Linked DNA regions of Neurospora crassa OR74A. The protein of the gene in region 2 interacts with the protein of the main gene of each other region in a pairwise test. Links are inferred from orthologs where the notes say so. Each region holds a gene or a part of one and is shown on either strand. Other genes may lie near its edges.

Region 1 (3,999 bases), on a different chromosome or scaffold from region 2:
GAACATAAGGTTGAAGGCCACGGGAGGCTCAGGCTGGACACCGGTGGCGGGGTTCTTCAAGTCGTACTTCTTGATGAGCTCGCCGAGCTGCTCGCCGTTGTAGTTGTCGATCTGGGCGAGGATCTCCTCGTACTCCTTGACGACGGCGTCCTCGAGCTTGACAGCCTCGGTACCCTTGGCCTTCTTCTTCTTGCGCTTAGGGTCCTCCTCCTTGTCCTCTACCTTCTGGCCGCGAGCCTCCTTGTCGCCCTTGAGGCGGGCCTCGAGAACGTCCTCGACGAAGTGGTCGGCGCGCAGAATGTCGCCGTTCTTGGGGTCCTTGCACATCCAGTCGGCGAACTTGTCGACGTGGCCGGAGGTCTTGAGAACATCGTGGGGGGTCAGGGCGGTGCAGTCAACCTCGAGCATGTCCTCCTCGAGGACAAAGTGCTTGCGCCAGATGTCGATGATGTTGGCCTGGAGGGCACAACCGGGCGGGCCATAGTCGTAGAGGCCAGCAACACCGCCGTAGATATCGAAGGAGGGCGCAAAGAACATGCGGCGGCGCAGCATGGACTCGAGAGCGCCCTTGTCGAGGGGCTGGCCCTTGAGGGTGGTGGCCGTCGAGGTCATCTTGGTGTTTTGTTTTTTGACGTAGACTTGGAAGCGATGGTGCGAGGTAGAGAGGGAGAAGGATCGGAGCGAAGTCGAAGAGATCCGCGGGATGGGCGCCGGGGTCCAAGAAGTTCGACTGGCGACGGCTCGGGTGGATAAGGTCGATTTGAATGCTTGACCAGCAACAGGAGAACGGAGGGAGGCGAGACGGGCAAGAGGTCGCATGAATTGGTCTTGTTACAGTGCTCAAGGGAACCAAGTGAGTCACGGTCGCCCACTGAGGTTTCGTCGAGGCCTTTTCAATTGAAACACGTACTTCAACCGAATCGCGGGATGATTTTTTTCTTTGGGGGGGTAGAGGGGCGCCATGGAGGGGCCGGCACCAACGACCCAGACAACCTAAGCCAAGGGACAGCGGTCCAGATTCCCGCTCTCGAGCCGCCGTCAGTGGCGGCGCGGTACGCGACAGAAGGCTCGACTCGCTGGAATCCACCAGCCATATCAGGAAGTGGAACTGCACATGCTACTGTACACTACCTCTACCTACCTAAGTAACTCCCTTACAGAAAGCGCATTCCGCTGGCTAGCGTTATTGTGACTTTTCATCGGCTAGAGGTATTGATATTTGATTATCAAGAGTCCGTGATGCCGCCGTTCTTCATCCCAAAAATTCTGCTTCCGTCCCAACTTACAGCAAGGGACGGGATGGAGTCATCCTGTGCAGGTGACAGTCAGGTAGTAGTGTACACTGAGGGGTAGCGGTACGTACCTGTCCCCGGCTGAGGCCGTGCGTTAGCTGTTGGGGTACCCTTGTAGATGCACGTCTTGGCGCCCTTGATGGCTCTGGGCCCAGAAAAAAAGTTGAAAGTTTACCGGGCCCGTTCAATTCATCCGTCAGGTAGAGGTAGCAACAACTGCCCAGCATCACGTCGAAGTTTGAACTGTGACCTGGAGAATTGATCCTACCCTACAATTTTGACACCGCGACAACCACTAATCCCACCGCCGTGTTACCACATCGTAGCCGATATGCCGTCCGGTAACAAGGGCAAAAACCGCTCCGGCGGATCGCTGTCGCTCAAGACCTCCAACAAGATTGTCAGAAAGCAATTATACGTCAAGCAAAAGAAGGAGCAGGGAAAGGAACGCCATGAGGAGCGTCACCGCCGGAGGAAGGAGGAGGCCAAGGATCCCAAACTCAGAGAAGAGCGCCTCGCAAACAACCAACCCTTGACCATTGAGAGGAAACGCGTGTGGGATGACGTTGACGACGACAGCCTGGGCGTCGCTGTGGATGTTGCCGAGCTCAAGAGGAGGCGCTTGGAGAAGGAGGAGGCCGAGGCCGCCAGGCTAGCCGATGGAGTCACGGAGGAGGATGAGGAGAAGGACGACGATGCCGATTCTATGTTGGACTCGGACGAGGAGGGTGACGACGACGACGAAGATGCCGAGGAGCGCATCGAGAGACTCAGACAGGAGCGTGCGCAGAGGAAACCCAGCATCGCTCCCTCGACCACGTCGACAAATCTAGACATGACTCCCGACTCGCTCACACGACAATTTCCCAATCTCTTCAACGAGGAACCCCCAGTCGACCCCAAGATTCTGGTCACCACCCATTTGAACGGCACCATTCACAAGGAGGCGGAGGACATTGCTGCCATCTTTCCCAACAGCACGTACATCAGACGCAGTGCGCACGCGTATGGACACAAGTATAGTGTTCGCGAGATCGCAAAGTTTGCCAAGAGTGAGTAGCGCACCCAGGTTGGAGTTTTGTTGCCCAAGAGAAAATTGCTAACACAGGCCTGAATTGTTACAGACCGTGGATACACGATTCTCATGATTGTCGGCGAAGATCTCAAGAAGCCTAGCTCCCTGACCGTCATCCATCTCAACGGCGAAGATGTTGCCCCTGGTCCTTCGTTGACATACACCATCCGGAACTACCTGCCTGGAAAGGCTCTCCTTGGCCACGGTAACCCTACAAACCACTACGTAAGCCGTCCATCCTAATCCCCAAGTCCATTAATTACAGGACATTGAGACTAAGCATTGCAACCAAAAAAAAAATACAGCCCGAGCTTCTCCTCAATGGATTCAAGACCCCTCTCGGTATCCTCGCCGCTAAATCCATGCACACCATGTTCCCTCCCAGGCCCGAGCTTTCGGGTCGCCAGGTCGTGACATTGCACAACCAGCGTGATTACATCTTCTTTCGCCGCCACCGCTACGTCTTCCGCGAGGCCCGCACGACGGAGAAGAACGTGGTTACTGCGGAGGGCAAGGAGATGGAGGGTATGCAGGGTATCCGTGCTGGTTTGCAGGAGATTGGACCCAGTAAGTCTTGCTACCGCGGAAAACAAAAGTTTTGGCGAATGAACCGAAAGTGGCTGACTTGTTTTGATAGGATTCACTCTCAAGCTTCGTAGAGTGGATAAGGGTATCGGTCGGGCTGGCAGCGAAGGAGAGGATGCTTTGAAGTGGGAGTGGAAGGCCAAGATGGAGAAGGTTCGCACGCGCTTCAACCTCTAAGGGGGCTGATCATGATAGTAGTATTGGTGATACCCTTCTTTCAGTATGCCATCGTCTCTGTTGGCACTGGAGAGTATTTGTCTTGTTCAAAGTGTGTATGTGGCGTTATCGGTTCACAAAAGGGTTTGGGAGGAAGGCATGATTCATCAACATCAGGTCACTATGACTGTACTTCAAGACTACCTATTTTCTGTGCATGTACCGCCGGTTTCCTCTCCCTTTCTACGATTTATGACCAGCCTTCTTGGCTTCCTCCTTGAGCATAGCCACTGGATATCTAACCCAGCAACGAAATCTCAGCCATTCTGCTCAGTATCATCGGCAAGAGAAGCTGGAGATGCCGCCGAGTTGCGGTGATAGTGGGCGATCCAGATGGTGTAGAGGGACGAGCCGAGGATGCCGAGAAGTGAGAAGAGGATGCCCTAGAGGGTTATGATTTCGACTTGCTTTTGGGTTTGATCTGTTGCTGAACCAGGTACGGTTTTGGTTGAAAGAGGTAAAAGATAGGATATCATAATGACTGACTATCCACACCCCGCACACGACAAGCTGGGACCAAAGCCAACATGGCTCTCTCGGGTAAGACGGAGTGGTAGAGAACGTGATTCGTCACGCCACGATTGGCGTGAGCAAGATCCAAGCGATTTGGTAGAAGGTTACAGAATTAAAAGCTATTAGCCAATGAGGAAGGATCACATCGAGGGACATGGCCACGCTGAGGGGAGTGTCTCGGGGAGAGATGGAGCGAGGACAAAGAGCGAGAGGGGAGGTCGCGAGAGGAGGAAGACGGTCAGGTAGGTGGTGAGGAAGTGGAAGGTTGCGAAGGAGAGCTGGGTTAATTGGAAGGATGGGGTGGAGAAATGGACTGAA
Region 2 (4,031 bases):
GAATCTAGGCCATGGGGAAGATGGAGACCTTGATGGACCCATGGACCCTGTCTCACTTGGCAGCACAGTCCAAGACGTGAACTGTTCTTTTAGTGCCTTATAGAACAAAACACGAGAGAAAAAATACAAGACATCTTACTCAGAGTGAAGAGACCGGATACTATATGTAGATCACCGCTCAGAATTAAATGGTTAACCGTGAAAGGAAACATGCAATACCACAGCCATGAATCTGCGTCTAATCATCCAAGCCCAATCCGTCCACCTGGCCCAAAAACAGCCCCTGCTCGCCCTTCAGCAGCTCACTAACATCCAGTCCAGTGAGGTACCTCTCGCTGACGCCCGTGTTGATCCTCTTGCTCAAGAGGTCTCTCAACGCAGCCCTCAGCGACGCCAACTCGCCCTTGCTCATCTGCTGTGCCTCCTTCTGCTTCTGCTTCTTGGAGCTACCCTTGCCACCCCACTTGCCCGCCTTCTCAAGCTCTTCCGAGTCATAGTCGACGCCCAAGTCCTCTGCCGCCTTCTTCATCCAATCGTCCTCTTTTCCACCCATGGTCTTGGCCTGCACCGCATCCGCGATCTTCTTGGCCAAGTCGACGCGCTCCCGCAACTTGGCGACGATGCGCCGGTCGATATCGATGGTGCGAAGTCCGCTCGAAACGAGCTTCTTGGTGTTGTTGCCCGAGTTGCCGGCCTTGACCTCGGCCTGGGCGTGCACCTTGGCAACGAGGCGCTGCGTCGGCACGGCTTCTTTGGGCCCGCAGAGCAGGATGCTCGTGCCCGAGTTGGAGGCACGGGCGGTACGGCCGGAGCGGTGCACGTAGTCCTCGGCGGCGCGCGGGACGTGGTAGTGGATGACGAGGTCGACGTCGGGGATATCGAGACCACGGGCAGCAACATCGGTAGCGACCAGGATAGCTGCAGAACCGTTCTTTTTCTTTGCGCCTTCGTTGGCCTTGAAGCGGTCGATAGAGCGCAGACGGGCTTGCTGGATCATGCCCGAGTGGAGAGGGAAGGCTGGAAGATTGAGGTTCTCGAGGAGGGGGGTTAGGCGACGGACAGAGTTGACCGAGTTGGTGAATACAAGCGCGCGCCGTGTGGGCTGGAGCATGAGAGTGGCATAGAGGTAGAGATCCTTCTCCATGTCGCCGCACATAATGAGACCCTCCTTGAGGTTCTCGGCCATTTGGTGGACGGGATTGGCGTCGACAAACTTGGGGGTTTCGCGGAAGTTCAGCTTCTGGAGAAGATACTCCATGTCCTGGGTGCTCGTCGCCTTGAACTTGGATTTTCCGGCCAACTTTTGCTGCAAGTTCTTGTTGAACGTGGCGGAGAAAATGAGAGTCTGCCTCTTGTTGACGTGCTCTTCCTCCTCCTCCTCCTCCTCCTCGCTGTCCTCTTCTTCCTCTTCCTGTCCCTCCTCATCAGTACCGCCCATCTTCTGATCCTCATTGTTCTCTTCCACCGGTGGCCTGTCAAGAGCCTTGAAAATCTCCTCGGCCTCCTTGAAGTGACCGTCCTTAAGAAGTCTATCTGCCTCATCCAACACGAGGAAGGAGATGTTCCTCAGAGAAGCGAGCACAGAGTTATCTGAGCTCATAACCTCCCACATTCTGCCCGGGGTCGCAATGACGATATCGGCGACCTGGAGCTGTCGTTTTTGCTTCTGTACGGCCATGCCACCAAGAACCGAGCAAATGTAAGGTGCTGTAGGAAGACCTTTGCAAAGCGCTTGAAGATGGTCTCTGATCTGCTGGGCAAGTTCTCTGGTGGGTGACAAAATCAGCGCTGTAGCGCCCTTTCTCTCTTCCTTGTTCTGCTTCCTCGTCTCAGCAGCGCTCAACCAGCTTTCGATGACGGGAATTCCGAATGCCAACGTCTTTCCCGAACCGGTGGATGCTTTTCCGATAACGTCGTGACCAGCCATGATCTCGGGAATAGCCTTGGACTGAATCACGGTGGGCTTGGAGAACCTGAGTTTGGCGATGGACGAGATCATACGAGGTGACAAATCGAGTGGCACCCATTCGGACATATCAATTTCCTCCTCTTCAGGCTCAGGAAGCTCCTCCAGTTTGGTGAAAAGATCGGTTTCTAGTTCGGGGTCCTTCGGCTCGACAGTAGTTTTCTCGTTCTTGCGGGCCTTCTTCTTGTCCTCGGCGTTCTTCTTATTCGCTGCCTTATTTGGCTGCTCCTTCTTTGGCTGTTGCTTTTGCTGCTTTTGCTGCTTTTGCTGCTCCTTTGGCTTCCTCTGGTCCTTGGAGGCCTTCTTTTCCTTGGCTGGAGTACTCGCAGCTTCGGCCTTGGTTTCTGATGTCTTGACTTCCTGGTCCGCATTTCCAGCAGGTTTCGGTGTCTCTTCGTCGTCGAAACCACCAAACTCTTCGCCGTCATCTTCTACCTCTGCCTCCGACTTGGGGACCGCAGCCATCTAAAGACATATGTGAGTTCATTCATGTCCTGTCGCTGTCATCATCCATGACCCAACTTACGAACTTGACAACATCGCCATCCTTTACAATGTCAACACCGGTAATTTCCTCCAAACCAAAGAAACCCTCCGCATCATCGAACATTTCAGGAATGTCGACCGTCTTCCATGCCAGCGCATCAACGGAAACAGGTCGCTTGATCTGCTTAGACGACGGTTGCGTCTTGCGGCGCTTTGGCCCGCTGGCGGGGGCTTTTGTGTTCTTGCGCTTCTTATCGACGGCCATGGTGTGAATATGTCGTCGTTTTCGGGTGGAAAAGGGTGTCGGGTTTGAGTGCTTGAGGTTGTTGGATGCACTGATGAACTTTGATTTGAAGGGTGTTGTTGACACTGCTCAGTGAAAATGGCTGTAAAAGTGAAATGGAAATTTTGGCTCCACCTTGCAGCTGGGTTGCAGCAGCCTCTAGCTGGAACAGGCTAGCCCATGTGCTGTAAATGACACCGCCTACCTATTCCAGGTCTGGCTAACAAGCTTGTAGTGTAGAGGGTGCCGACAGAATAGGACGTGGAAACAATCAGTCTGACTTTGATGGAGGAAACAAAACATGAGACGACATCTTATGATTCAAAGCTTTCGTTTATCGCCAAAGTCCTTCCCTCCAAGTATGCGCGTCTATGGTGTGCGAGTGCTGGGGCCGCCAAGGTGCTCGATAATTATGCCGGCAGAATCCTTTTTGGCGGTGACTATTTGCAGCAGACGGACCCAAATCGGCGCCCAGCGACAGCGACCCGTCACCAGGCAAAAGTGGGGCCCAGTCTCTTTCACAAGCTCCCGTCATTCACTCTCGTCACCCACTCGCGGCACTTCATTATTCGACACAAGTAAGTGAGAGCGAAGCATTCAAAATGGGGAAATCATCAAAAGACAAGCGTGATGCCTACTATCGCCTTGCAAAGGAGCAAGGATGGCGTGCCAGAAGTGCCTTCAAGCTTCTTCAACTAGACGAAGGTAAGAACTGTTTATTGCATATGTAATGTAAAGAAGTGTATCACCGCTAACACCGAGCGTTCCCATCAGAATTCAACTTGTTTGAAAATGTCACTCGTGTGGTCGATCTCTGCGCTGCCCCCGGTTCCTGGTCTCAGGTTCTATCGAGGGTTCTCATCAAGGGAGAGAAGTTCGGCCGGTGTGCTTGGCAAGACCGTGAGGCCAAGTTCCGCCAACAGATGCTCAACGTCTTTCCCGAGAAGCAAGACGCTCAGGATGAGGTTCAGAGGGTGCAGGCGACTCAGGAGAGCACGCCGGCTCCCAGGGAACAGGTCAAGATTGTGTCCATCGACTTGCAGCCCATCAGCCCTCTGCCAGGAATCATCACTCTCCGAGCCGACATCACACATCCCGCCACCGTTCCGCTTTTGCTTAAGGCGTTGGACCCCGATTTCGACCCAAGCACCATGAACCCGCAAGCCTCACACCCAGTGGATCTGGTCATCAGCGATGGTGCGCCCGACGTCACAGGCCTGCATGATCTTGACATCTACGTCCAGTCACAGCTCCTCTTCGCAGCCCTCAACCTCGCCCTCTGCGTCCTCAAGCCTG
Region 3 (3,966 bases), on a different chromosome or scaffold from region 2:
CCTACACAGCTCACCCACAATTCCACGAGACATCATGTAGAAAGTTGGTATGGTGCACTTGAAGGCTTTACACGTTGTTTCTTTTTTATTTTCTTTCAATGTGGCCGTGTTGTTAATTTTTGTATTGTTTGCGATTCCCTGTCGCAAGAACCACGGAGCCAGGCTTAACAGTCGTTCCACGGTTATACTGCAATTTCAGACAACTACATATGTACCTAGTTCTGGGCGCCAAGGCTCTTCCTCCACATTCCCGTCATTGCGAAGTATCACGCGGTTGGGGACAGTCCGTTGAGATACCTTCATATGCGATGACTGCATTACAGCCTATCCTATCCTATCCATACATGCGCGCGTCATGAATCGAAGGCTTCTGTTCACTTTCGAATTCTGCCCCTTTTCTTGAAGCTTGAAAATCCACGGGCCGCGCCGGATGAAACGCGCGCACCCGCACCACGCCGGCTGCTGCCCGTTGGCTCTATACCAGCAAACAACCCTAAACATCAGGCAAATGGCCTAGCACTTATTTCTTCCCCTTCCCTTGAACCTTCCACTTCGAAGCCCTCGCAGCAGCACGACCAGTCTTCTTCTTACCACCACCCGCATTCGGCGCCTTGTTCTTCTTGGCGCCCTTGAACTTGAGATCCTTAGGTTTTCCGTCTGCCGCACTAGCACGCTTACCCTCGAGAATGAAACTCTCGGGGGACTTGTAGGCGCCCGGGACTCTGGGACCGGTCGCCTCCGTGTTGGCGCCCGAGGCGTGATTCCTCCTTTGGTTGGCCTGGTATCTGTCCTGCTTGTTGAAAGTCTTCTTCTTGTCGGAGCCGATGACCTGTCTGGCAGTGAACTTGCCGAGGAGCTTCTCAGCGCGGCCGGCGATGGTCTTGGCTTCGGCGGAGATCTTGGGGGCGTAGTCGGATTTCTTGGAGCCAGGACCCTTCTTCCCGTTGTTGCCTTTCTTCATAGTTTCCGGAACGGCACCCTGCGCCTTGAGCTTCTTGGCTTCGATGGCACGCAGGGTCTTGTGAGGGGCCTTGCAGCGGCTGACGCGTAGCTCGCGGGGGAGCATGGGCGGGAATTTCTTGCCGTTGAGGAGGATGGCTGACTCGACGGCGTTTTCATCCTACGGAGGGGGAACAGAGTTGTTAGTTGATAACGGGCAAGTAAGAGACAGAGAGAAGTGATAACTCACGCAGAACTGAACGTAGGCGAAGCCCTTGCCGACACGGGTGACAGGGTCGCGGACCACACGAACGCTCTCAACTTTGCCGCCCTCTTTACCGAATACCCGCCAGAGACCTTCCTCAACGTCCATAGGCTGCTTTGTCCGCTTCTTCTTCTCGGTCACCTCCTTACCGTCTTCGTCTACCTTCACTTGCAGTACTGTCTCGTCATCCACAAAACCAAGGTTACCGACGAAGACGCAGCGCTTGTGGTCTACCGGGGCAGGATGGGCAACGCTGTCGACACGGATGTGGCGATCCAACACGATTGTGCCGTTGAGTTTCGAGCAGGCAAGACGAGCGGCCGCAGGGGTACTGTAGACAACATAGGCGTTTGTCGACTTCGTAGTGGCCTCCATCACGGACTTCTTGATATAAGCGGCACGCTTGGGAATGGCAGCGGTAGCGAAGGCAGTCGAGCGGAACCGTATCGACTCAACCTTTTGCGCAGGTTTCGCCTCCTTGTCCAACACTGAAGCCATATGCTTCATCAAGGCCTTTTTGGCCGAACGAGAGGTGACGGCCTCGACGGCGACATTGCTGAGGAAGACGGTGCGGTTGGCCTTCTCAATCTCGTTCTGGGCAGCATCGGGCGCTAGCGATTCGTGAACGGGGACCTCATCCGCAGACTCGCTGTCGTCGTCGTCCTTCTTCTCGGCCTTGGCGGTATCCTTCTTTTCTCCGGATTGCTCGTCGGCCTTGAGACGCTTGCCAGCCGGCTCTTCATCGTCCTCCGCCAACTTGGACAGGTATTTGTGTTCGAGATTGTCGTGCTGGTCGGGTTGCTTCCGCTTCCGTTTCGGTCCATCTTCTTCCGGGACCTTTCCTTGTTCTACAACAACTTCGAGGGTCGCGACGGCTTCGTCTTCGCTGTCACTGTTGTCTTCAGCCTCGTCGTCTTCGTCATCCTCTCCAATGCCGACCTCGGAATCGTATTCTTCGTCAAGCTCGCTCAGTTCCTCGTCATCGCCCTCGTCCTGAACGTCTTCCTCTTTCTTGGAAGGTACTGGCGCCTTCTTGGACTTTGTCGGTAGGGGCTCGGAGTATTTTGCAGCTGGGCGGGGCTTCGCTGGACCAACCTACACAAGATTAGCCATGTAAACTTCCAATTGCCTGTCTGGTCAGAGCGAGATGACTTACACTGGTAGCAAACAAAGCATCCAAGCTAGGATCAACCTTCTTCACCGGCGCAACGAGTCCTTTACTATAATAGTGGTGTCAGAATACTGGAAGAATGGCGTTGACTGTAGCGTAGGGCTGTTCGCACGTTTTACCCATTGTGAGTTTTCCGTCGTGTGTAAGCGCAATGGATGGGAAAGTGGCACGATTCGCCAATCAAGCACTTGTGATTGACTTAGTTCTAAGAGCACGGAAAAACAACTGAAGTTCGACGACGAGGCGAAAGATGTGATTGGCTGTAAATGCTGTCAAAATCGAATTGCAAAGCTTCCACTTCTGATTTCTAGCAGGATGTTGTACAAGGCAAGACCAGTTTCTATGCAGGCAGGTTCAATGGTCCAGGGTTTCAAAGGGTCGTCGTTTCTACCTTCCCCACTGCGCATCGTAAGGACGAGTCGAGGACCGTGGAACATCTTGCATCCTCCCATTAAAAAAAAAAACTCGCTTATCAGTTGTTATCAAAGCTGCCAAGACTCACCGCCTGCCATCGCCTTTGTGTGGTGCGCTGGGCTGTTGGAGACGGGCGGCGGCGGCAGGCAAGCGGGCAGGCAATGGAGCCCCCCAGAAACCTGCCGGTTGCCCATTTGTGTTGCGTGCTGGTGCGGTGCTGTGGGCGCTTGTCCAGCTCCCAGTCTAGGTCGTCAACCAGATACCTACTGCCCGCTCCTCACTCTCCCGATCTGTCTTCCTACTACTTTACCTACCCAGACCGCACGTTATCTCTTGACAATCGCGCCCTCGTACCGACAACAAAGCCATATCTCCGAGACATTTCATTGTGTGCGAGCACACATTTTAACCTTCCGGCATAAACACACTTTACCCTGATCGTGGCGCCACAACTTCAGGTGCTGCTCTTGAGCTGCCCGTACAGTTCGGACGTCCAGTCCGCCGTCCACGACTAAATTCTACGTGGCCGTCCAACTTTCCACTGCTCAGCTGCTCAACCCAACATTGGCGCGTCGTTGCTTAGTTTCAATCTCGTCGGATTCTATGATCCGCGATGGCTACCGGTGACACCGCGCTGTCCTTGGCTCTCTCGAGCCCCCCTCCGCCTCTGCTCCAACACAGCCCTAGCGATGTGTCAAGCCCACTTAGTGACGTGGAAGACAAGCATGGAGATCCTGACGACATGGATTTGGACATGAACAGTAACCACTCTCAACATCGCGAGACATCGGTCCGAACTGACAATCGCGATGGCGTCGACTCGGACCTTGGCGCTGAGACTGACGACGAGAGCAAGCTGTCGGACGTGGATATTAATGACTCCGAGGCAGAGACAGAGAGGCTCTACGACACACCACCGAAAGATCGAGTATCGCGCGACATCGTAGACACCGCGGGTGAGCCTGGCACTCGACAATTCACCGACCGCCGCGATCGGACGTTCGAGCGCAGCCCTAGCAAGCTTCAGCAGCAAATCAAATCTGATTACGAACCGGAAAACACTGCCAGCGGGCGAAACACTCCCTCAGAAGAAGCAGAAGTGGGTGACGAAGAGGCCTCGGAAGACCTGAGTGACGAAGAGCCTGAATTTGCTGCCAAACTACCACCTGCGCGATCT

Evidence for each region.
Region 1: the proteins of NCU04041 (region 2) and NCU00404 interact in binary tests that used the Saccharomyces cerevisiae proteins (3 or more experiments, as listed by UniProt). The link is inferred for Neurospora crassa OR74A from reciprocal best matches to the Saccharomyces cerevisiae genes MAK5 and RPF1.
Region 3: the proteins of NCU04041 (region 2) and NCU09131 interact in binary tests that used the Saccharomyces cerevisiae proteins (3 or more experiments, as listed by UniProt). The link is inferred for Neurospora crassa OR74A from reciprocal best matches to the Saccharomyces cerevisiae genes MAK5 and NOP12.

Annotation. Positions count from the first base shown.
Region 1 is NC_026503.1:3,739,871-3,743,869, reverse strand, and holds NCU00404 (RNA processing factor 1), read left to right. Parts: upstream 1-1,485; 5' UTR 1,486-1,623; coding exon 1,624-2,344; intron 2,345-2,416; coding exon 2,417-2,592; intron 2,593-2,672; coding exon 2,673-2,934; intron 2,935-3,004; coding exon 3,005-3,129; 3' UTR 3,130-3,499; downstream 3,500-3,999. Other genes in the region: NCU00405 (glycyl-tRNA synthetase 1), read right to left, coding at 1-819. UniProt on the Saccharomyces cerevisiae protein: Essential protein. Required for biogenesis of the 60S ribosomal subunit.
Region 2 is NC_026506.1:2,535,175-2,539,205, reverse strand, and holds NCU04041 (ATP-dependent RNA helicase mak-5), read right to left. Parts: upstream 2,801-4,031; 5' UTR 2,718-2,800; coding exon 2,493-2,717; intron 2,432-2,492; coding exon 239-2,431; 3' UTR 103-238; downstream 1-102. Other genes in the region: NCU04040 (tRNA (uridine-2'-O-)-methyltransferase TRM7), read left to right, coding at 3,338-3,440, 3,510-4,031. UniProt on the Saccharomyces cerevisiae protein: ATP-binding RNA helicase involved in the biogenesis of 60S ribosomal subunits and is required for the normal formation of 25S and 5.8S rRNAs. Required for the maintenance of dsRNA killer plasmid.
Region 3 is NC_026501.1:5,442,398-5,446,363, reverse strand, and holds NCU09131 (nucleolar protein 12), read right to left. Parts: upstream 2,801-3,966; 5' UTR 2,499-2,800; coding exon 2,488-2,498; intron 2,425-2,487; coding exon 2,361-2,424; intron 2,300-2,360; coding exon 1,190-2,299; intron 1,121-1,189; coding exon 521-1,120; 3' UTR 65-520; downstream 1-64. Other genes in the region: NCU09130 (hypothetical protein), read left to right, coding at 3,403-3,966.